Lonchura striata: one gene and its partners. The protein of the gene in region 2 interacts with the protein of the main gene of each other region in a biochemical or structural test. Links are inferred from orthologs where the notes say so. Each region holds a gene or a part of one and is shown on either strand. Other genes may lie near its edges.

Region 1 (7,678 bases), on a different chromosome or scaffold from region 2:
AACCTCCAGGATACTGTAAACGTCTAGAGGATTCAGCCCAGCAGCCCTTCTATCGGTTCATCCGACTTGAAAAAGAACAAAGACCTTGGGAAGGGGAGGGCCACGCTGAACATCAAAGTATTAGAGTAAGGTGTAGTTGGTTAGATTGTCATTGTTACCCTTTTGCCTGTTTTTCCTGCAAAATCTGTAAAGGATTGTGGTGGGCTCACTGCAGAAAGGGGAGAGCTCCAAAAAGTGTATGTCAACGCTGCTGGCTGGAGCAGCGCAAATTGACATCTGAAGTACTAAATTACAAGGTTGCCACTCGGGAATTGACTAAAGGATCCCCTGAGTGGTGGGAGGTTTTCGTAAAGGGAATCAACCCTGAATTCCACTGTTACCATTCCAACGAGCCCCTGGGTCCGTTTCTCACGGATATAGTCCAGGTTAAGTGTCGCAAATTAGTTAAAAAACTCAGGTGCGACACTCCACAGTTGAATACAAAAAATTGGATCTCCCGGAGATCAAAGTGGGAGAGAGGGAACGATCCCACCCCTGAAGAATATCTCTGCTGTCGGGAAGATGGCTTGCCCTGTAACTTGTAGCAACCAAGTTGACAGGCGAGACAGAGAGGTAGATAGTGGGGATGAGGGGCCCTCCCAAACCTTGAAAGAGAACGTAAATCATCATGAGTATGAGAATGGTGACAACGGAATGAGGGAAAATGGGAATGTAAAACTGAGCATGATAAGTAACATCCTCCCCTGCAGTGCGTATCACTCAATCCTATGGGTTTTTATGTTTGTATGGTTTCCCCTTCAGAGTGCTACAGCTAACTCACATGAACCCTTTAAATGGACCTTAAGCAGATGGGAAGATCACGATACCCGTCATATTTTACAAACAATAACGGGACCTGGAGCACCGAGCTTCAAAGTTGGAATCTGTGATTTAACTCGGAATTTAAAATGCGGGCGACTGTTAAACTTAACAAGCTTCTATATGTGCCCCGCTTCAAACCCAGGGAAGCAATACTGTAATTACCCCAAACATTATTACTGTGCCTATTGGGGCTGTGAAACAATAGCATCAGCGTGGGCTCCGGGTGGGGGATTAGATAAATATTTAAAGGTAGGACATGGACCAGTAGGATGTAAACGACCACGAGAGTGGCCTTGGACTGGGAAAAACTTACTTGGGAACTGCACCTTTCTTTACCTAAATATCACTCAACCAAGCGATTCTGGGTGGTTAATAGGCAAAACATGGGGGGTTAGGCATTGGATAGAAGGACATGATCCGGGAAATCTGATTCAAATAAAAAAAGAAGTAGCACCGCACGACCCTAGCCCTATAGGCCCAAATCCAATAATAAGCAATGACTTAAAAGAAAGTAATAAAGCCAGAGATAATGTTATAGACAAAGGTAATCAAGAACCTCAGTTATTAGTGCAGAGGTATACAACTTTATGGAAAATCATGCAAGCTACTTTTGGGGTTCTAAATCATACCCATCCTAACCTAACTAAAGGATGTTGGCTTTGCTATATGATAAATCCACCCTTTTATGAAGCTATTGGGATTACATCCGAAGCAAGGGAAATAAATGGTACAAATCCAAAGGAGTGTCTCTGGAAAAAAGAAGGAGATAATGTTCCAGGCATTACCTTGTCCCAAGTTAGTGGGCAAGGAAGGTGCGTAGGAAAAATTCCTGCAGATATACGACACCTCTGCAACACAACAATAAGCATTAACAGAACAGACAAGCCTTTTGATTGGCTTATGCCAGCAGTCAATACTAAATGGGTATGTCAACAACTTGGAGTTACACCCTGCCTATCGGTAAAAGCCTTTAATAATTCAGACTTCTGCATTCAAGTTCTAATAATCCCCAGAATCGTATACCACCCAAAAGAATACGTGCTAGAACATCAACAAACCCCTGAACACTACTTGGTTAAGAGAGAACCACTTACAGCACTAACGGTAGCAATCTTGCTCAGCATAGGGGGAGCGGGAGTCGGAACAGGGGTCGCTTCCCTAGTAAGTCAAACCCAAGGTATGAAAGCTCTGCGCACATCTGTAGATGAAGATCTAAGTAGAATAGATAAAGCCATAAGTGAACTAGTTAAATCAGTAAAATCCCTTTCTGAGGTAGTCCTCCAAAACCGAAGGGGATTAGATTTGTTGTTCTTACAGCAAGGGGGACTATGTGTTGCTTTACAAGAAGAATGTTGCGCTTATGTAGATCACACAGGTATTGTAAAAGACACGATGGCTGAGTTACGCAAACAAATAGAACAACGAAAAAGAGAAAGAGAATCCCAGCAAAGTTGGTATGAATCCTGGTTTACATATTCTCCCTGGCTGACCACTCTATTATCCACCCTTGCGGGACCAGTAATTTTACTAATTCTAATACTTACTTTTGGACCATGTATCCTTAGCAAACTTATTACCCTAGTGAAAAATAGGTTAGAAGCTGCACATTTAATGATAGTAAAGCCAAAGTATGAGCCACTTAGCGAAGTAGAGACTGAAGAGTATTTAGAGTTAAGCAAGAAAGAGTTAGAACGCTTTAATGAACAAAAAGGAGGTTAAAATAAAAAGGGGGGATATTGTTAGGAAAATAAGGCCTTTTTGTTCATATAGAGTCTCTCATATTCACAGAATAGAGTTTTAATTAGAGCTTGTACTTGTCTGAACATGTTCTCATCTTGTCAGGCATTCCAGTGTCTATCTCATGCATTCCAGTGACTATCTTTCAAGGTTGACTTCGTTACGAAGTTTTTAGGGAGTTAGAACTGTTTTGAAAAGGCTGCTACTAGGCACCCAAACACCTAAGCAACTAGATATGTTTCAAGGATAGTTCCGTTACAGACTTGGCAAAACATGTAAACGTGCCTCGAGATAACATTTCTTATTTTTGAGGGAATTTCCAGGTCGCAGAGACAACCTTAAAGAAGACCACTGGCGCCATCAAGAGGCAGAGAACAACCACCTAACAACAGGGTGCGCCTGCGCAGAAGAGACACTGGAGCGTCACCAGAGCGTCACACACCCGGAAGAGACAACCCAATAAGTGGGGGGGAAACGGGGAGCTAGGCGCGGTAGTTGAACCGACTGCCGCCCAGCGCGCGCTGGTTTGCTTTCGCTTTCCGCTATTAATAAATCCTTTTAATTGGATTTAACAGCCTATTGTGCTCGTTTATAACAGTAAGGGCTGGGGGAGAGGTGAGGACTGGTGTACCTCTCCTCTACCGTATACCCCAATCTGTACCCCATAATTTCGCTGTGGGCTCTCTCTGTTCCTCAGCCTGTAACGTGACACCCTCGAATCCACCTGCTCAGTGCTACCCTGCCAGCCCCAGACGTTATCCCCGCCTCTTTTCTGTTGGTGCTGCGTTCCTCTGAGCGCTATAGCGACAAATGTTTGCTGTCGCTGTTCTGGTCACAAACGTGTCTGGAAGCAGTCATCTCCATCTCGCCGGGAGGGGCGTGACCGGGCGACGTCCGGCACAAAACGCGGGGGTGGGACGATGGAGGGGCGGATCGATGACGCAACGGGGGGCTGGGCAATGGGACGACGACATGACGCAACGGGGGGTGGTGTCGGTGAAAGGGTTGGTGTGTGGCCTGGGACTTAGCGTGAGTGACAGGTGCTGCTGCGCCGGCGGAGGGAGCGGCGGGAGCATAACTCCCAGGAGCCTCAAAAAAAAAAAAAAAAAAAATCATCCTCCTGCCTGACAAAACCTGGCCCCAGCACGGTCTGCAGCCAGACCTCGGTGATGAACATTGCCTGTGAGCGCGGGGGCTGCAGGCAGTACCCACCGGCCGGGCCGCGGGACAGCTGCGACACCGCGGGCTGCAGTTCCGCCCCTGCCTACCCCAGTGTCCGCCGGAGCGCGGCCAGCAGCACAGAACGCGGGGGTCGCTCTCTTCGGCCGCCCTGCTCCTGCCGTGCCAGCGGCAGCTGCGCCAGGAGTGGGGAAAATCCCCTTGGCTCGGGCAGCTGTGGAGTCTGCCTCCGAAACTGCGCACTCTTCGCTAAGACCCTGTTGAGCCACACGGGCGGCTGAAAGTAGTGCGCTTACTCAGCTGGAGAAGAGATTGAGCTGAGAACTCTTTAGGGGTCTGCAGATTAGGGCCAGCTGTAATTCTGCTCTCTGTGAACAGTGATAGGACCCAGGGAACGGCTGGAGCTCTGTTAAGGGAGAGTTAGGCTGAGTGTCAGGAAACGTTATTCCCCCAGAGGGTGCTGGACACTGACCAGGCTCCTCAGGGCAATGGCTCTGAGGCTGCCAGAGCTCCAGGAACGTTTGGAGAGCGATGTCAGGGATGCACGGGGTGGGATTGTTGCAGTGCAGGGACAGGGGTTGGACGCGATGATCTTTGTGGATCCCTTCCAACTCGGGATATTCCACGGCTCTATTCCATGACTGCAGTTAGCAAGACGCCGGCTTCAGAGGACTCCCCCTCGACCCGAGGGCTGTGAGTTTCACAGCCCTTTACCCAGCGAGGTGGTTCAGTGGCGGCTCAATCCGCAGGGCTGCTCCTGAGCCCGTTCCTTGGCTTCTGCTCCTCGTAATAACGCCACAGTGGGACCGGGGCGTGGCTGTGCTCAGTATACGGCTCGGTTCGTTAAAACCGCAGCTCCGTCCCACCTTGGCCCAGTGCCCGCCCTCCGGCACCTCCCCCCGGGGCGGGCGGCGCAGTGCGGAAGGACGCGGGGCCGGGAGGAAGCGGATTCCGCCGGCTCCGCGGCAGCGGGCGCACGGTGAGCGTGGCGGTACCGCGGGGCCGGCCTGGGGCTTGGGGGTCTCGTACGCGCTCGGGCGGCAGGCAGGCTTGCGCAGGGGCGGGTGCTGCCCAGCGCGTCCCTCTGCGCTCTGCGGGAATGCGGCAGCCCGGCCCTGGGAGGCCCACGGCTCGGCCGTGCCCTGAGCCCGCTCGGGCGCGGCGGGACCCGGGAGAGGCCGAAGCAGGCCATGCGTGTCCGCTCCGGAGGTCGGGGAACTGCCGGGAAGGGAGGGCGCAAGGACCCGCTCCGGCGCAATCCTCCTTCGCTGCGTTTTCCCGAACCTTAGCACGGAAAACTGGGCTGCTCTCGCATTTGTTTATGGTTTGCTGCAGTGTGAGGGTTTTATGAGTTTTTTTTTAAGGTCTCACTCGTGTGTGGCTGGCGGGCAGCGTCACCAGTATAACACTGCGATATTTCAGCCGCCGCAGGGCAGGGTTTAAATCCAAATCAAACCGTGCCTTCATTTAAAAAAAAATGGGGGGAGGGAAAGCCAAAAATACGTTGACGTTTTTGTACAGTCCTTTAAAATGCCTTGACCGCTTCAGTGTTTAAAATATACTGTCTTTTTGTACAAGGGCAGAATTAGTGGAATAGATCTAAAAGTTGAAGGCTCCCTCTCTGCTTTTGGCATTGGTTTGCCATTAAGGTGGTTGCTACTCTTCCATATTGCTGGTAGCTGGAAAACCTTTTATTTTTTTATTTCCCTAAGAAGAAATCCTGTTTATTAACTTTTGGGAAAAAAATTGCTTTAAACTAAAATAAAGTAGGACTAAATTTAGGTATGTTCTGTGAGAAAGTGGGAAGGCCCTGGGACAGGGTGCCCAGAGAAGCTGTGGCTGCTCCATCCCTTTAAGTATCCAAGGCCAGGTTGGACAGGGCTTGGGGCAGCCTGGGATAGTGGAACACATCCCTACCCATGGCAAGGGGTGGAACTGGATGAACTTTAAGGTCCTTTCCAACACAAGCCAGGGTTTCTGTAAAACTCTAGTTGTCTCAAAGAAGCTTTTAAATAAATCCAGATTTTGAATGGTGTTTCTCTGGGTAGTTCTGGTTTTGAAACACTCTTATGCCATCTTTAGGTAATCCCTGTAATTTTTTTTTTTTTTTGGACGTAGATAAACTAAGTCTCATGAGGTAGAATGAGGGAGCAGGGGATTTTGTTGTTTGTTTTTGTTGAACATGTTAAATCCCTAGGAAAGGCCGTGGGTCAAACCAACTTTGCAGGAGGTGTCTGGAAGCACAGGGAGGTTTCATTAACATCATCTTGTGTTGGCCAGGGCCGTGTGTTTGAGGCAAAATGGCTTTCAGTAAAGGATACCGTGTCTATCACAAGTTGGATCCACTTCCCTTCAGCGTGATTGTGGAAACCAGGAACAGAGAAGAATGTCTCATGTTTGAGTCTGGAGCTGTGGCTGTCCTCTGTAAGTTGATCTATTTTAATAACTACTGTGTTAGAAGGGTGGCAGACTTGACATTGTGTGAGCCATTTTATTTGTGGAATGTAAAGAAGCAACTGTTCTGTTTTTCTGTTTGGTAATGGAGAGGCTTCTGATTTAAATGAGAAAAGAGGCATTTTCTTATCTTCATCTGTTGAGAGAGAATTTTGCGCATTTCATTACAGTTCTTTATACATCTATATTTTCATGTCTACTAAATTTTCTTATAATTGCCTCCCATATCACCTTGTTTCTTGGGTTCTGAAAAACCCTGTTTTGAACATGTGATAAGTCATTGATGAGCTAATTCTGATGTTGCATTTCACAGCAATAAATGCTATATTCTTAAATGTTATATCATAATTTGGTTTTATTTCATTTTGTGTGATTTTTAGCTTTATTTTGTCCCTGTATCTTTAACCTCCCTCAAGACTTGGTATTGCTTTGTCTTGTAATAAAATGAGTAATACTTGGAGCAAGATGCCTTGCATTGCAAAGTTATTTTTACGTGTTTTAAGTGAAAAGTGCGTGAGATTTCCCCCTCCTAAATTTTCTCCCCCTCCCCTTTTTTTTTTTTTTTTTTTTTTTGCTGGAGAACACTAAAGTGCAGAAGAGAACTATAAGGCCTATACATAGACTTTTAAAATACTTAAAATTATATGTTTGTGTTCTTTAGGAAGCCAAAGCACCTGGTTGCACAGCATTTCTGAGCTCAATTTTGGCTCCTCTATAGAAAGCTTTCATTCCATGGAAGTAGTTTTCTCTTTAGCCAACAGCTGTTACAAGCCAGGCAATGACTGGCATAGTTGCTACAGCTGTATGATTACCCAGGTGAACAGTGGGTGTTTTTCTCCTCTTTTTAAAATTCTGCTTTTTTTTCCTGTAACAGTTTCTTCTTACTATGTACTTAAGTAATCTCCCCAACTTTGGTAGCAGTATCCATAAGGCACTGTAGTGTGGATTGGGAATAAGTGTCCAGTCATAAAGGTAGCAAGCAGGTTTCATGCAAGCTATAAAATGTTTTCAAGATTTGTGGAACAGATTGTTTTAGCCTGTGTTTAGTAATTATTATGCTTGAGCTACTTAAGGTCTAACAGATGAAAATTTTTTTATTCCTGAAGGTTATGTTCAAAAAGGGCAGTAAGTCACTTTTCTTGCCGGGATATACTGCAGGCACCTGGATAAATGTCCTTTCCTAAAAATTAAAACCCATGTCAAAGTTCTTGCCCACTTCCTGGCCTTCTTTTACCAAGCAGAGGAAGCCAGACCTGAAGAAGTTTGGAAGCCTCTCTCCTCTTGCATTCTATTCTTAGTGATAGCTCACTATTAATCTGCAAAGCGCTGTCCTTGGAATTCTGATTGGTAGGTTACGTCATAGCAAATGTTCACACTCAGCTGGAAGTAGTTACTGAGTATTGTTTTCAGTAAGCTTAACCAGGAAACTGGTTTCTCTTTTTCTGTC
Region 2 (8,010 bases):
TATGCAATGAATGCAGTCATGTGGAAACAAAGCTCAAGCTATTTTAAAACAAGTCTGTTTAAATGCCCCAGACTGTCAACTCCATCACCCAAAGTGATTGTGGTAGTTTTATAACTGTACGTAAACCTGGAGGAAGCAATATTCTATCAGTCAAACTGGCATAACACTACTGGCAAAGGAGTCTGCAAGCCTAAGGAAAAGAGACCATTAGGTGGCACAGCACTTTGTTGCCCATTTCTGGAAAAACACACTTTAGATCTTCCTAGCTTCAGGATGTATGACAGATCTGCAGCAGCATGTTAACATTCAAATGGGGCTATTTCTCCTGCTCTGTGGATATTAGAAGTAAGTTAACAACCTAACCTGTTCCACAGTGGTCAGTCTAATGTGTATGAATGCAATTCTGTATTCATATCAGGACTTCCAGACTCACACTGCTTTTATAAACTCATGAAGTCTTCTCTAAACTTTATTTATATGCTGCACACAGGTAAATCCATTAGTTTTTCTGAAAGGGTGAACACTCGACTCATTCCAGAAGGTGCAAAGTATCCTGCTCTTCAATGTCTCACTGCTGTTGGCAGTTGGTCCATGAAAGTTGACAAGCATTAAGTTCTTCAGCACGGCTGCCAAACTGGCAGTACTTGATGCAGGTTAGTTTGACATTTCACATGTCAGAAAACAATAAATGAAATTAAATAAAATGGTTACATTGTATAAAACAGATATACCCTTTCTATGACTTAGGACACTATTAAAATAGCACATCATATAAATAAACATGAATAAGAATCAAATCAGTAATTTAGATTTCTTAAAACTTCCTATTTCTCTGGTCCTATCTGGAAGCTTAATTCATACCAGCAATGTCAATCTGTATTTCACCTGGTGTTTAACTGCTAGCCAAAAGGATTACTCCCTGGAGCAAGGTCAGCACAACTATGTCACAGATTTCTCACTCATAATGCAAACAAGCCAATAAGCAGATCACTCTTCAACATACTTGTGAGTCATTCTCATATATGAATGTGTCTTCATGGCTTGCATGAAAACAAACTGTGAAAGTCAAGGCTGGGGCCAAAAATCCCTGGGTCATCAGATGTCAGACAGCTAAATCTGGTAACAGAGACTTAAATATTTTGGTTCCAGACAACTAAAACTCTTCCTTCCTTCTGAATGACAGTACTGCTGACAATCAGTGTGAAAGTGTCATCTGAAGGACAAAACAGCATGCACAGACCTTTCACACCATTCTCCCTCCAAAAAAGAAGTTTACCTCTGCTGCTGCAGATGCATTCTCATTAGCTTACAATAATGGAGAACTGAGATTTCTAGTACTAAAAAGTGAATTTCAGCTTGCCTGCTTCTTAAACATGGACACCACAGACACTGAAATTCTTCTTTTCAGTACCAGAACTCATTGCCATAATGATGATTCCTAGGCTGCTCATAGCACCATAGGCAGCAGGGGAAGAAACAACAAAGTAAGCAGCAGCAGATGGGCACTGCTGGATGGGCTCAGGCACCCTTACCTGCTCCTTATGGCATCTGTTTTGAGTGCAGCCGTTTTCTTGCAAGGATTATTTTACCAATGATGCAGCACAATGTGGCATGAAAGGTGAGACATGGTGTTATTCAATGCCTTCATACACCCATGCAGGACTTGGTATAAAACCATTGCATTCAGAGTTATAGTGTGTACCGGTGTAACTACAAAGTGTCGAAAATCAGAATTTGGACAAATATTTGGATGAAGGATAATTTTTACAGAATATTTCCCCATAGTGCTCAAGAGATGAGATGCATGAGAAGGGGAAATACACAGGTGTTGAAAAGTCTAACAGGTTAATACATCTTGTATGCCTGGACCTACAGATTGCTTGCAGTGACCAAGATTCCTAGCTGAAGATGCCTGCAATGGCAAGCAATAGGAAATAACTGGAGATTTTGTATTTAGTTACAAACAAAACAACCCAAATAAACAAAACAACAAACACACAACCAACCAAAAAAACCCCGCCCACACTGCATGGGTTTTGGTGTCAGCTCTCTGGATCTAAATCAATTCCTCTGACTTTTATGAGACCATTTTTTATTAGATTTTTAGATTTGTCCCCAAAGTACACTAAGTCAGAAATTGACTTGCAGACTGTAACACACAAATTTTGTATTATGAAACAACTCAACTACTGGTGAAACACTCACCCTGACTGACCTTCCTGCAATATCACACCATGCCTAAAGCAACAGAACCAAACCTCATTACTCGGATTTCAGCTGTGGTCTAGACCCACGAAACAAAAAGGTCATGTTTATTGCTGTTTTCCCAAAGTCAGGCTAAAACAAACAACGCCTATGGAAATACGGTGCAGAGACCTGGGCAGGGAAGGTCTGAGCCCACGGCCGGTGTTTGCTGCAGCAGCTGCCCCCGCGGGCTCCAAGCGCGGAGGTCGGGGCAGCCCAGGAGCTACTCCCGCACCCCGGCAGCCCCTGCCCGCTGCCGCAACGCGGCCGGAGCGAGTGGGGGGAGGCGCGGCCGCCCGGCGAGCCCCGGCCCTCCGCAGATGGACACCCCTGCAGACCCTGCACCCTCCGTGCACATCCCTGCGCGCACCGCGCACACCCGGCCAGACACACGGCCCCTCGCACGCTCACTCATCACGCACGACCGGGCACAGCATCCGCGCAAACCCACTCACCCCGCACGCACTCGAGCGGAGCCCCGCGCACGATCCCGCACGGCGCACAGCCGTGCATGCCCACGCGTCCGCTGGCCGCAGCCGAGCGCGCTCCACGCGCGAGCAAAGGGCTCGGTACCTGCGTGGCTTTGTGGAACTGCTTCTTCAGCCCGGCCACCGACATGGCGAGGGCAGCGCGCAGCAGCCGAGCCGAGCCGAGCCGAGCCGAGCCGAGCCGAGCCGAGCCGAGCCGAGCCGAGCCGAGCGCTCTGCCTGCCCGCACCGCACCGCGCCCGGCGGAGGCTGTCAGGCGCGGCGGCGGAGCGGGAGCGCCGTGACGTCAGGGCGGGCCGCGCCGCCTCCGGCCGCCCCCGCCCCGCAGGTGCGCCGGCAGCGGCGCCGCGGGGCTGCGCGGACCGAGCGCTGTCCGGCGCGGACACCCCCGGGATGGGCACCCGCCCCCGCCTCGTCGGTCCCGGGCACGGGCACGGGTGTTCTCCGTCCTCCCCGCCCTCCGCGGACCTCGGTCTTGCCTAAGCAGCCTTCCCAGCAGGGATCGGGATACTCGTCCCCGCGGGACATCATCCGGGGAAATGAACCCGAAAAGAAATTGGCGGAGCAGTAATGGGGGCAAGAGAGGAAAGCAGTAGGAGAGGGAATGTCAGTGTTGGCCAGTTTTCTGAAAAAAACCTTTCTAGCAACGCCAGCTTATTTGGGCCTGATCGTGCCTCACTGAAGCACAGCTGGTAGTCAAACCCCGGCTAATTGGGATTCTCTCAACAAGTGCTGTTTTCTTCATCCGTCAGATTGTCAGTGATGCATAGAAAAGCACTTCTAAATTTCGCCTGTTCCAGCCTTCTGGTGTGGCTGTTTGCTGGAGAGTAAAAGCCTAGAACCCATCTAAAAGTCATGTACTTTAGCAGTTTAGTGTTACAAATACTAGCTGAACAGTAATTAGCAATTATTAGGCTCTGCCAGCAAAAGACTAAACAACATGAGCAATGTGATCCAAACACAATGATCCTTCTCTGCAGGCTGAACCAGTCACTGCATATGTGTGCTGCAAATTGGCACAACGGAGATGCACACTCACAGCTCCTCAGCTGTTTGAAGGCAGCCATGCTACATTGGCGTTTAATTCCATCACAACAAACACTCATCACATGAGCTAGTTAGACAGCATTTTCAGAAGCCTCTAAAGCTGTTTATAAACTCTGTGAGGGCTTGCCATGGTGCTTCACGCAGACTTTTTGCACATAATCAAACTGTACTGCTGCAGGCTTCAGGCACACATACCATCAACCTCACCAGATATGGGGGAAAGGGTTGATGCCACACCTCTGGGCATCCAGAGGCAGAGCCAGGCCTCCAGATCACTGATACAGTGCAGTTCTTGGAAGTTACTTGCAGAGAAGAAAAGAATCTTAAATGGAATTCCTGTGGGCACTTTTGGAAGCGCTATCAAAGTTGTTCATCATCAAGAATGACAAAATAAGAATACCTCTCTTCTCCCTGGAGAGTGTGAGATGGCAATAACCTCATCCTGAGCATAAGTAGGAGGCACTGCTTTCTGGGCTAGTTCCAGGTCTGCACAGAAACACTTCCATCCACTCTAGTAGTAATATTGTTTTAAAGGATGAAAAATATGATCATATGAAGATACTAGGGAGAGAGTGGGTGTCTCCTGTGCCAGCCATTGTACTTTTAATAGAAAACTTCCATTGTACCTAGTACTTGGGAAAAGGAATTTCAGTCTGGAAACACAGTGAGAACTAAAAAGTCAACTATCACTGTGCCAATCCTTGTGTCCAGTGGGGGACCGTCCCATGCTCTCCCGTGCTTCAGGAGGTCGGGAGGGCAGCTAAGGCTTTTGTCCTGGTGGGGTGAGACAGTTGCAACGATGGTGGAAGCAAGGAGTCGACCCCAATCAGGGGTTAAGTCCAGGTTTATTGAGGACATCTCCGTGGAGATTCATAATGCAGGGGAACCAAGCAACTGAAGCCCCGGATTAGGCTGTGTGGCACAACATAAATGAGGATGGAAACAGGGAAGGAGATCAGCCACCTATGGGAATGTTCGGGGGAGTGGAAGGTGGGGAGAGAGACAGGTGAGGAATTCAACGGGGAAGGTGGGAAGGACGGACCCCTGGCCCCTGTCCAATCACTCAATGCTCTCTGTGGAAGGTTCTGAATGAGTGGGATGGGGAGTTGAGTGATGGACAAGGCACCAGGGAGAGGATAGGGGAATTATCCAGCAAACGGGAGGGGGATTGACATCAGGGAAGGAGGAGGGGATTGGCATACAAGGAAAGGGGTAGTTCGCAGTAAAACCAATGGGGGGGGGGTCTAAAGGGATGAACCATTAGAGAACTGATACAAAAACATGACACTTAAAAACACAATACAACAGTAAACCTATGATAAAAGCCATAATTTTGAATAATTTTTATAAAATTAAGTATGTTACTAAATAACTGGCTTTCAGTGGTAACATTTCAGAATCTAACTTTTGTTGGCTATTTCAAGAGTACATTCCTCTCCACTACAAATTTATGTGAAAATTTTATAAATAAATAACAAATAAATCAATATATAAATGTCTGCCAAATTCAGTGTCAGGGTGATGAGCTGGAGATACAACGTATCTCTCATTTTCAAGAGTATTAGAAACTCTGATGTTCCCACTGCCTGTTGATTGAAATGATACCTGGCTATAAATCAGCCCAAATCGTAGTTGAATTCCCTGACTCACCTATATTATTGTCTGTATATTCTCACAACTTAATCTGGCACTTTCACTTCTGCTCATACATTTTTTTTTCTTTTTCTTTTTCTTTTTCTTTTTCTTTTTCTTTTTCTTTTTCTTTTTCTTTTTCTTTTTCTTTTTCTTTTTCTTTTTCTTTTTCTTTTTCTTTTTCTTTTTCTTTTTCTTTTTCTTTTTCTTTTTCTTTTTCTTTTTCTTTTTCTTTTTCTTTTTCTTTTTTTTTTTCCTTTTCCTTTTCCTTTTCCTTTCTTTCTCTTTTTCCTTTTCCTTTTCCTTTTCCTTTTCTTTTTCCTTTTCCTTTTCCTTTTCCTTTTCTTTTCCTTTTCTTTTCCTTTCTCTTTCTCTTTCTCTTTCTCTTTCTCTTTCTCTTTCTCTTTCTCTTTCTCTTTCTCTTTCTCTTTCTCTTTCTCTTTCTCTTTCTCCTTCTCCTTCTCCTTCTCCTTCTCCTTCTCCTTCTCTTTCTCTTTCTCTTTTTTTTTTCTTCTAGAATATCTATGTTTCTGGGAGTGGAAATCTTTATTAATCTTTATTAAAGCACAGTTCATGTGTATCCTGCTTGTGTCAATGGGCTTAAAACCCCTTTTTGTAAATTAAATAGTGTCACTTCTTGGACAAAGAGAAATTAATTTAGTGACTGCTCTTCAGTATATCATGTCATTTGTGATGTCCTCTCCTGGAGGTATCTAAATAATGCTTTGAAATCAGCTTTAGTGAAATGACTTCTGGTTTTAATAAACTATAGCAAACAACAAATATTTGCCTATGATGTGCTACATCTGATTCTAAATTTTTTTATGTAATAATGAGATCTATATCAGTAAGTCCAAATGCCATTTTAAAATGAGTAAGTATGATAGGCTAAGCACCTCGTTTTATTTCACACAGACAAAAGAAATTCTAACAGTAACTTAAAATATCCCCATTGTTGCAGCTGCAAGGAATAATCAAGTGCAGAAAAGACAAAGACTTTTGTAGGTGCAAGCCTAGTCCTTTTTTTTCATGGACTATTATGACATTAGGTTGTAAATCACTATAGTTCTTACATAACATACAGTTGACTCTGCAAACTTAGAACTGCATTCTCATTGACAGTCATTTAGTGAAATAAGTGGAAATATTCACTTCAATATGTCTTCAAGAATTTGATTCATACTTCAATTTATACAGCTTTTTAGATTTTTTCTCTTAAAAAAGCTGGTAGGTAATACTTCAACAGCACACAGTCATGTAAAGCAGAATAAAATCCACTTGATAAGTTGTCAACCAAAATAAAATAAAATGCTAAAAGTACAATTAAACATTAGCAAAAAGTGTTTGTAAAACCAAAAATCTAATTGCAGGAGAAGGTGGCATAGATGATAAGTCCTTGCAGAAGTTGCAGTGGAAGCAAATCACTCTGTTTAGCACTCAGGTAATAAAATCACGTTGAAAACCAAAAGTAAATATAATGCAACAAAAAGAAGCAAACAAACAAACAAAAAAAAGAAGAAACCAGACAGGATTATGAATACAATTTTTTTTCTTGATAAGTAACACCAAAAAGAAAAACCCCCTAAATATTTCTTAGAGAATTCATTCATATTTTGCTGGGGAAGAATTTGGGTATTTATTAAGTTCTTATGGTGCTATGTCAATATTTTTACATGAAATATTTGTTGATATTTTCACAATAATTGAGTAAGACAGAAAAACATAAACATCCTTATGAATAGGAAAGGCTCCACAGAAGGTGTGGTCATTCACCCACAACTGATCAGGAACTGTGTTTCTAACAGAAATTAAGCCAGAAATTAAAAATCAGACCACTCAGTTGAAATCTAATCTGGGCTACACTACTACAGGTCAGGTGGCAAAGACATCTAAATTTAAGCTGTGTAAATCAGCAGGCAATGAATAATTGCATGAGCATTAAAATAGTGCTGACTTTAAAAAAGATTGAAAGATGGTCATTTAAGTGTGAGGCATAAAGGAAGCAAGCAAAAAAATTGTTATTTAATTATCTTTTAAAAAATTAATTCATTCACTGATTAGGAAATATTTTGTCAGCTTATGACTATAAAAAGGTGCACAAGACATAGACAATAAGTTACAAGTAAGGGAAGATGGAAACACCTAAAAAGGAAAGAATCAAGGTAGAAAAATATCAATAACCTCTATCCTTTTTTTTGAATTACAGGAACCCTTTAATTTCATTTCACACAAACCAATAAAATTAAGAAGAATTAACAGCATTGTTCTTATCAGTTAAGTAGTATTACTCTTCCAACCACTGAAGATACAGATTGAATGGCTGAATTTTTGTGTGTGTCAAGCATGACATAGATTATCCAGGTTTGGTAGAGTTACCCTTCCAAATTATCTATCTCCAGTCTCATGGACTCATGACATCTCTTTTCTTTCTTAATAGATGATCAATATATGAGATTTCCTACAATGTCCAAGAGTTCCTCTTTATAAAAGTACAAAAAGCTTGACTGGACACAATACCATTACTCTCACAGTATTTTTCCTCAAACACAGTTCATTAAAGCTCAACAGGTCCCCATGCTCAAAAGAAAACAAGGTCTGT
Region 3 (6,996 bases), on a different chromosome or scaffold from region 2:
GGTCCTGAGCAGAGAAACCAGCCCTGGCAGGGCCTCCAGCCCCTGTGCTGAAGTGTCTGCATCATGCTAATCAGCCAGTACCAACCACATCAGCATTTGGTCTTGCACAGATTTCCATCCGCTCAGAGAGAAACTCATCAGTACTCACATTCCCTGTGCAGCAAGCAGCTGCTGAGCAATAGCTGCACCACCATCCTGGTATCAAGCAGGAGCAGTGACATATGTCATGTCCACACTACAGCAATAATTGTATTTGTACACAGTAGGTCTACACACAGTTTCTTCTTATGGCTGTTCAGACAAGAAAACATCCCCTATCACAATTACACTGAAGAACCATGCTCATTCTGGATACTATTTCCATAGCTCCTTATCATGGTTACCAATACCCACAGAGAAAGAAAAGAGACTATACATTACAGCAGGGCCCCAACACTATTTTAACAGGATTGGGATTTGCAGCATATACACATACATTATGTGGTAAGAGGTCTCAAGTTACCAGTCTAAACTAGCCAGCACTCAGGGGTATCAAATGGAGAAAGACCTTTTCACACTGACATTTTCCATTTCCCCTCCAATTATTTCCTCTAAATGCTTTTCTACCGACAGCTCTCAGCTCCTGCTCAGGGGACCTTTAATTATTTCATTTTCGAAAAGCCACAGCGCTGTAACTTGCTGCTAGAGAGACAGCTGATGGGACACGGTGAGGTCATAAGTTCTCCTGTGACTGGAGTCATCAGAAAGAGACAGAAGATAATTGAATTCATATATTTTCCACCAAGCAGATAAAATGCCATTCTAAATTAGTGCCAGTGTAGATGCATCAAGGATTAGTAAATCCTCTTGTGTGGTTGGTCTAAAGGAGAGGAGCAGTTTACCCCAATACACTGACTGTCCTTCCTCCAACAAATCCCCCTCTGGCCCAGCAGCCCGACATTATCTACGACACCACTGCAGCACTGCCTGCACAGATCCTCTAAAAAGGATTTATGAGCTTTGACTGCCAGTACTTAGAAAGCATGAAAACAGCAGGGCCAACAGGTGAACCCATTTTGCTCAAAGACTTCAGAAGATCCATTTTCCCCTTCTTCGAAAGCCACAGCCCAGCAAGTTTCTCACTTGGGTGGCAGGAATTTTATTTCTTTTCTGTGACTGTGGACAAACAAGTGGATTCTGGACTATGACCTGAGACTCAGTAAAATGTGTTTCTGCAATGTCTGGCCCTTGGCATGATCCCAGCATCTCTCAGGGATACACTGCATGGACCTTTGGAAGTTAGCTAGAAGAGATACCAAACTCTTCAAATTTTATATTCTTATTTTTTCAAAACTCTTTGATCTATGGCAGAGAAGAAAACATTTTATTTTGACCATGCTTTCTTTGTACCAGATGTAACCCCTGAGCTTTCCTCCTAGTACACCCAGCACTCACTGCTCAAAGATACCCTTGCACGGGTCCAGAATTTGGCTACTTGCAGCTAAGCAAGCAGTTAATCCACACCACAGACCCTTCTGACAGTGGAAAAGCCCTATAAGCCATCGAACAGCAAACAGCTTAAAAGAAAAAGTGGGGGTTGGGAAATGAGATCCAGTAGATGTTGTCACAAATGCAGTTTGCTGAAAGAGAAAAGCCCACGCAAGCATCTGACCAGGTATCAGCAATCACTGCTCTTAAGGCAAGTCCCCAGAAACCTGCGTGCTCCTTACAGCATAAAAAACCACTTTGATAACTAAAACCCGTATATAACTTAATACAATTAATTAACAAGGCCAGAAAAAAGGTGAGGAACGTTCCCCCCCTCCCTCCAGGTGTTGTGTGTCTGCACTGGAGGAGATACCCAAGCAGCGCGGTCTGCAATTTACTCAAGTTGCAGATGATGAATGCGAAGGTCACATGAAGGGAAAGCATCAGTATATTGCCTGCCACAAAATGGTAGCACCCGGGGATTTGAGCATATAGGATAGCTATAACCCCGTCCTTCCTATAGCCTCCCCGCAGCTCCTGACATGGCATCCGCTATGGAGGACAGCGAGCCTGGGCTGGGGGAGGGGGACGGAGCAGATTAAACTTAAACACCCTCCGCATCACTCCCCCCGCAGCGACAACATCCATCTCTGAGCCCCGCACCGAGCAGGGGACGGATGGGGCCGGCCCCCACAGCCCCTTCAGCCTCCTCCGTTATGTAACACCAGGACGAGGGGGGGCTGCCACCGGCCGCCAAGGTGCGGCAGTGGCGGGGACCCCGCTGCGGAATGCCCCCAGGCGGGGAGCGAGCCCTCCCTCCCTGCCTTCCTCCCGCGCCTCCCCGTACCCCTGCACCGCAGCGCCCGGGCGTCCTGCAGCGCTGCCCGCGCACCACACACGCGCCGAGCGGAGTAGCCGCGAGCGGAGCGCAGTCCCCGCTCCGCGCGGTCCCCGCACCGCGGCCAGAGCGCCCGCACCGCGCTGCCCGTGCGGAGCCGCTGCCCGCGCGGAGCCGCTGCCCGCGCTGCTCCCGCACCGCGCTGCCCGTGCGGAGCCGCTGCCCGTGCGGAGCCGCTGCCCGTGCGGCGGCTCTGCCCGCGCTGTCCCCGCACCGCGCTGCCCGTGCGGCGGCTCTGCCCGCGCTGCTCCCGCACCGCGCTGCCCCCGCACCGCGCTGGCCATGCGGCAGCTCTGCCCGCGCCCCCGGGGACACCCCCGCTCACCTCCCGACGAAATTCTCCAGCACGGAGCTCTTGCCGGCGCTCTGCCCCCCCACCACGGCGATCTGCGGCAGGTCGAGGTTGGCGTTCTGCCCGATGGCGGCGAAGGCGTCCTGCAGCCGGTTGACCAGCGGGATGAGATCCTCCATCCCGCGGTTCCCCATGGTTGCGGCGCGGCTCTTGGCACAGGCGAGCTCGCACTAACCCTTCCCGCAGCCCTCCCCGGCTGTGGGGCCGGTGGGCAGCGGCTCCAGCCCGCGCCCCTCGCCCCGCTCGACGCCGCCCGGGCTCCGCTCGCCTCAGCCCGCCCGCCGCGCCTGTGGAGCGCCCCGTGCTGCCGCCAGGGGGCGTTAAAGGTACCGGCGCCGCGCTGCATCCCGGGAGATGTAGTCCGGCGGCCGTGAGGGGCCGAGGGGGCCGGGATCGGGGCGGCGCGGCCCTGGTGTCTGTGCCCAGAGACCTGGGAACGGGGCTCGCTCCCAGAACCAGAGCAGTGCAGGTTACCCGGGGCTGCCTCTGTGTGCGGCAGGTTGGCACACCGGCGTGGCCCAGCCGGTGTGGGTGTGCTGGCCCCGCAGTCAGTCCCGGTGTACCTGTGGGTGAGCCCCGCACGGTGCCGAAGCCCTGTGGCGGTCACTGCCGCCAGCCGTGCAGCGCTGCAGCGGGCAGGGAAGATGTGCTGGAAGAACCCACTTGGCTCGGCTCCTACACCTGCACTTTGTGATCCTCACAGCCGCAACGTTTACTCAGTGCGCCATGGCTTGGTCACAGCACCTGTATGGGAGGGCTTTGTGTGGAGACAGCACTTGTGAAATCACCAAAATGCAAGAAACACTTGAGATTATTAAACTGGAGCTTTGCAAAAATGCTACCACTCTCTGAGCATCTGGCTAGAATAAGATGGCAGAGGTTAAAATAAGAATTTTTTTTTTAAGGTCTCTTCCAACCCATTCTATGATTCTGATGCTTCATTCAAACACAGATGTAAAATGTATCAATTTCTGTTTATAGCTGTAAAACAGTGGATGTGTTGCCAGGCTTGTTTTAGAGAAACACAAACAGGTGCTTCATTTTATGCACCCAGATTTTGTTTTTAAAATTACTTGTCTGCAATAAAGAGGGAACAGCTTGGTTTTATGGTTTTTAAAAGGGATAGATTTTTAATAAGAATATAACATGAGGCCATATTTGATTTCAAAGTACAGCAATGAAAACAAGTGTTCAAAAAAGCATCTGATGGCTAGCAATGACTCAGAAGGATGGAGAGTGTCGCATTTCAAACACCCCTCAGTTCGTGCTACCCAAGACTCCTATTCACAGCTCAGAGAGGGATGGGGGTGGAGGGGGAAATGAAGTACAAAAAACTGCAACAGATTTTGAGCTGTCTGTTTTGTTTTGTACAGCAGCTTTTTAGTTATAATAATTATAATGACTATTTCACAGGTGTCCATCAAATTTAATCCATGCAAAAATACCTATGTGGACATACAGAGAAACTGAGGCAACCATGGTGAGGGATGAATTTGCCCCATGCTCTAGCACATCACCAATGTGCAGGTAAGAACACTGAAGGAAGGGAAGGGAGCTGCTCCATCTGTACGGGTAACACCATTGTAGGGCATACGTGGGCAGTTTTGGGGGCTGTCAATGCTATTTTTTCCTCTCAGCAAATTACCCAGTAAATCTCAAGAAATAAGCTTAAGGAATTCAATATAGACTGTGGACAAAAGCCTTTGAGCATCCCTGCAGCCATTCAGATAATTTATGTTGAAGGATTCTGGAAAAAAACTGCTATAGATAGCTGCTCCTTGTAAGAGGTCACCACAAAAAGAACAGTGAAGAGTATCAAAGGCTCAAATAATGATGTCACCTTCCTCCCTGGATCAGAGCTGAAGCTCAGGGAACTTTAGACCATGAGGATCTTTGAAGCTTTATTTGAGGAACCAAAAGCAGAAAACTGACCTTTTCCCAGGGCTCGCTGTACCGTGAAGTTCACCAACTGCAATACAAAGACTGCCCAGTTGCATCACTTCAGTCACCTCACACAATTTACCAGCTGTACTAAAAACTCTCAGTGGCCATGGCCAGCCTCACCTGGGGCTTCCCCCCACATCTGTGGACCTGGGTGGGCCATCAGTCCTGCTGACTTATGGAGACGTGTTTGTCTCTGGTTGCAGTCTATGGAGTCTTTGGGTCTGGCTTTCACACATAGGTTGACTCCTTAGCTTCATCCCCATGTACACTGGGTAGATATTTTGTTCTGGTTGAGTCAGCTCTAGAACTAATCATTCAGGTGATATTTCTTTTGGAAAAGCTAAAATGAAACTAATCCATTTTCTTTGAGAAATGTTTGTGACAGACTATTGAAAATATAATATATCAACAGCTGATGTTGAAGACTGAGGGGAAAAATAAGATTTATATTGCCAGTTAAGGAGCTCATACAGTATAAAGGCTCATGCATGACTTCTTTGCAGGTGATTTTTCCTACACTATCTAGTTTTATTTTTCCATTAAACTAATACTTAGTTCTTAGGAAATGTGGTCCTTTGGGGGATATATGAGGGGTTTTGGCATTATTGAAATCTTAAAGGGCAAAACTGGACAGGAGGGATGAGAGGAGCTAATAGGGTGCTCTCCAGGCACACAAGAAAGCAATAAAAGAAATTATGGAATTGGAAAAACATGCAGAAATATTGGCGAATTTTGCATGGATCAGTATTAGTGTAAAACTGAGAGATGCACAGAATCTGCTCCAGCTTCTTTGTCCTGCAGAGCTTTTTGTAAGCAGATGAGCTCCAGTGTGTCTGCCTGCAGCATCACCCTAAACCACTCATTTACAGTGTGAAGTCTGGACGCTTCTGCAGCGACTGCAGCCGCCCAGCCCAGAGAGACTGACCCCGAGCATCCCAGACAGCGAGGCTTGGATTTTCTGAAGCTTTACGAACCTACTCCTCCCTCTGATGAAAAAGCGAACTGCAGGCACTCGGAATCGCTCCTAGAGCCTTCCATTTTCTCCCCTGCCACAAACTGAGTTGCAGGGATGTCTCAGCAAACATACCTTTTGATTCTGTAATACCTCCTACCTGTGACTTACTCAGCAGCATTTAGCAGACAGAGCAGGAAAAACAAAAGGAATTTCAATAACTGGAATGAATAGGAAAAATCTATTTTTTTATCTTAGTAGAAAAACTGAAGATGTGAGCAAAGAAAAACAAGAGGAATGAAAGATTCCCCCCGCCCTGTGCTATAAATATTTCTGAATGTACTTTAACATGAATCCCTAAAAATGCATGTGGCCAAGCATATGTGTGTTTCTATGTATGGCTATCAACATAACCACAGTTGTGTATGCTGATTTTGTCACCTCATGCAAATAGGACTCCCAGTTTAGTTAGCATAATTAGAAATAGACATTTGAGAGCTGGATTCTGTCCTTCATTCCTTGCCCTTGCAAAAATAACATATCTAGTCCTCAGAGGAAAAAAGAGGCAAAAATGTGGAAAGCAATTAGCTTGTGAGTTTCTAAGTTCCTTGCAAACTGTTTCTGCTGACTCCAGGTAGTGTGAATGTTTAGAACATTTCACTGTGGGTCTTGAAGTGGATAATTCTGGCCTTTGGGGTTCCTAAAAATGGTTATAAACACAGGTAAAAATTTTAATTGAATGGTTAAAAGTTCCAAAAAGAAACTGGTCTAGGATTGTCATTGTCCATACTAATACTACATGATACAGCTGATCAATAGTTAAAAATATTAACTAAAATTAGCCTCTTACATTTCCATAACTATCTAAAGCTGCATATAGAGATAGAAAACGCTTAAGTATCTATTTTCTAGGTACTAAAGTGCTACTATAGTAGCAATGGTACCACAGTAACATCATCAATCTCTTGTGGTATCAGTTACTCAGAGAAAAAAAGTTGATTTCTAATGCTCCTATTAATTGCAAAAGCTATTTGAAAGAAAAGCAGTCTTTAATTTTTGAGTTTTCAAATAGAATGCTTTTCTTTGTAGAATAACATAGTGAGATGCTTCTGCATCTTCTGTGCTTAAACTGAATTGGTGTGAAAATCCCCCAAAAAGAGGTAAAAGAAGGTAAATCTGGTGTATAAGACACTAGGACAGTATTATTGTGAGTGTAACTTGCCAGAAGCCAGAGTATACATAAGGAAAGAAAGAAGCTGAATGTTATACTCCATTAAGAATGGGATCTGTGCATGGATGTGATTTTAAATTAATATTTTAAGAGCAACAAAGATGAGTTCTCTGTGCTTTCTGCATCCTGTAGATGTCATAAAATAGCTCCTG

Evidence for each region.
Region 1: the proteins of SH3GL2 (region 2) and SYNJ1 form a complex in vitro, tested with the Homo sapiens proteins (2 studies listed by BioGRID and IntAct, with this or other methods). The link is inferred for Lonchura striata from reciprocal best matches to the Homo sapiens genes SH3GL2 and SYNJ1.
Region 3: the proteins of SH3GL2 (region 2) and DNM1 form a complex in vitro, tested with the Homo sapiens proteins (2 studies listed by BioGRID and IntAct, with this or other methods). The link is inferred for Lonchura striata from reciprocal best matches to the Homo sapiens genes SH3GL2 and DNM1.

The regions. Positions count from the first base shown.
Region 1 is NC_134604.1:19,416,652-19,424,329, forward strand, and holds the start of SYNJ1 (synaptojanin-1), read left to right. Parts: upstream 1-4,664; 5' UTR 4,665-4,756; intron 4,757-6,057; 5' UTR 6,058-6,077; coding exon 6,078-6,201; intron 6,202-7,678. UniProt on the Homo sapiens protein: Phosphatase that acts on various phosphoinositides, including phosphatidylinositol 4-phosphate, phosphatidylinositol (4,5)-bisphosphate and phosphatidylinositol (3,4,5)-trisphosphate. Has a role in clathrin-mediated endocytosis.
Region 2 is NC_134642.1:22,234,118-22,242,127, reverse strand, and holds the start of SH3GL2 (endophilin-A1), read right to left. Parts: upstream 3,004-8,010; 5' UTR 2,863-3,003; coding exon 2,818-2,862; intron 2,723-2,817; exon of another isoform or gene 2,700-2,722; intron 1-2,699. UniProt on the Homo sapiens protein: Implicated in synaptic vesicle endocytosis. May recruit other proteins to membranes with high curvature. Required for BDNF-dependent dendrite outgrowth.
Region 3 is NC_134624.1:507,558-514,553, reverse strand, and holds the start of DNM1 (dynamin-1), read right to left. Parts: upstream 3,015-6,996; 5' UTR 2,852-3,014; coding exon 2,691-2,851; intron 1-2,690. UniProt on the Homo sapiens protein: Catalyzes the hydrolysis of GTP and utilizes this energy to mediate vesicle scission and participates in many forms of endocytosis, such as clathrin-mediated endocytosis or synaptic vesicle endocytosis as well as rapid endocytosis (RE).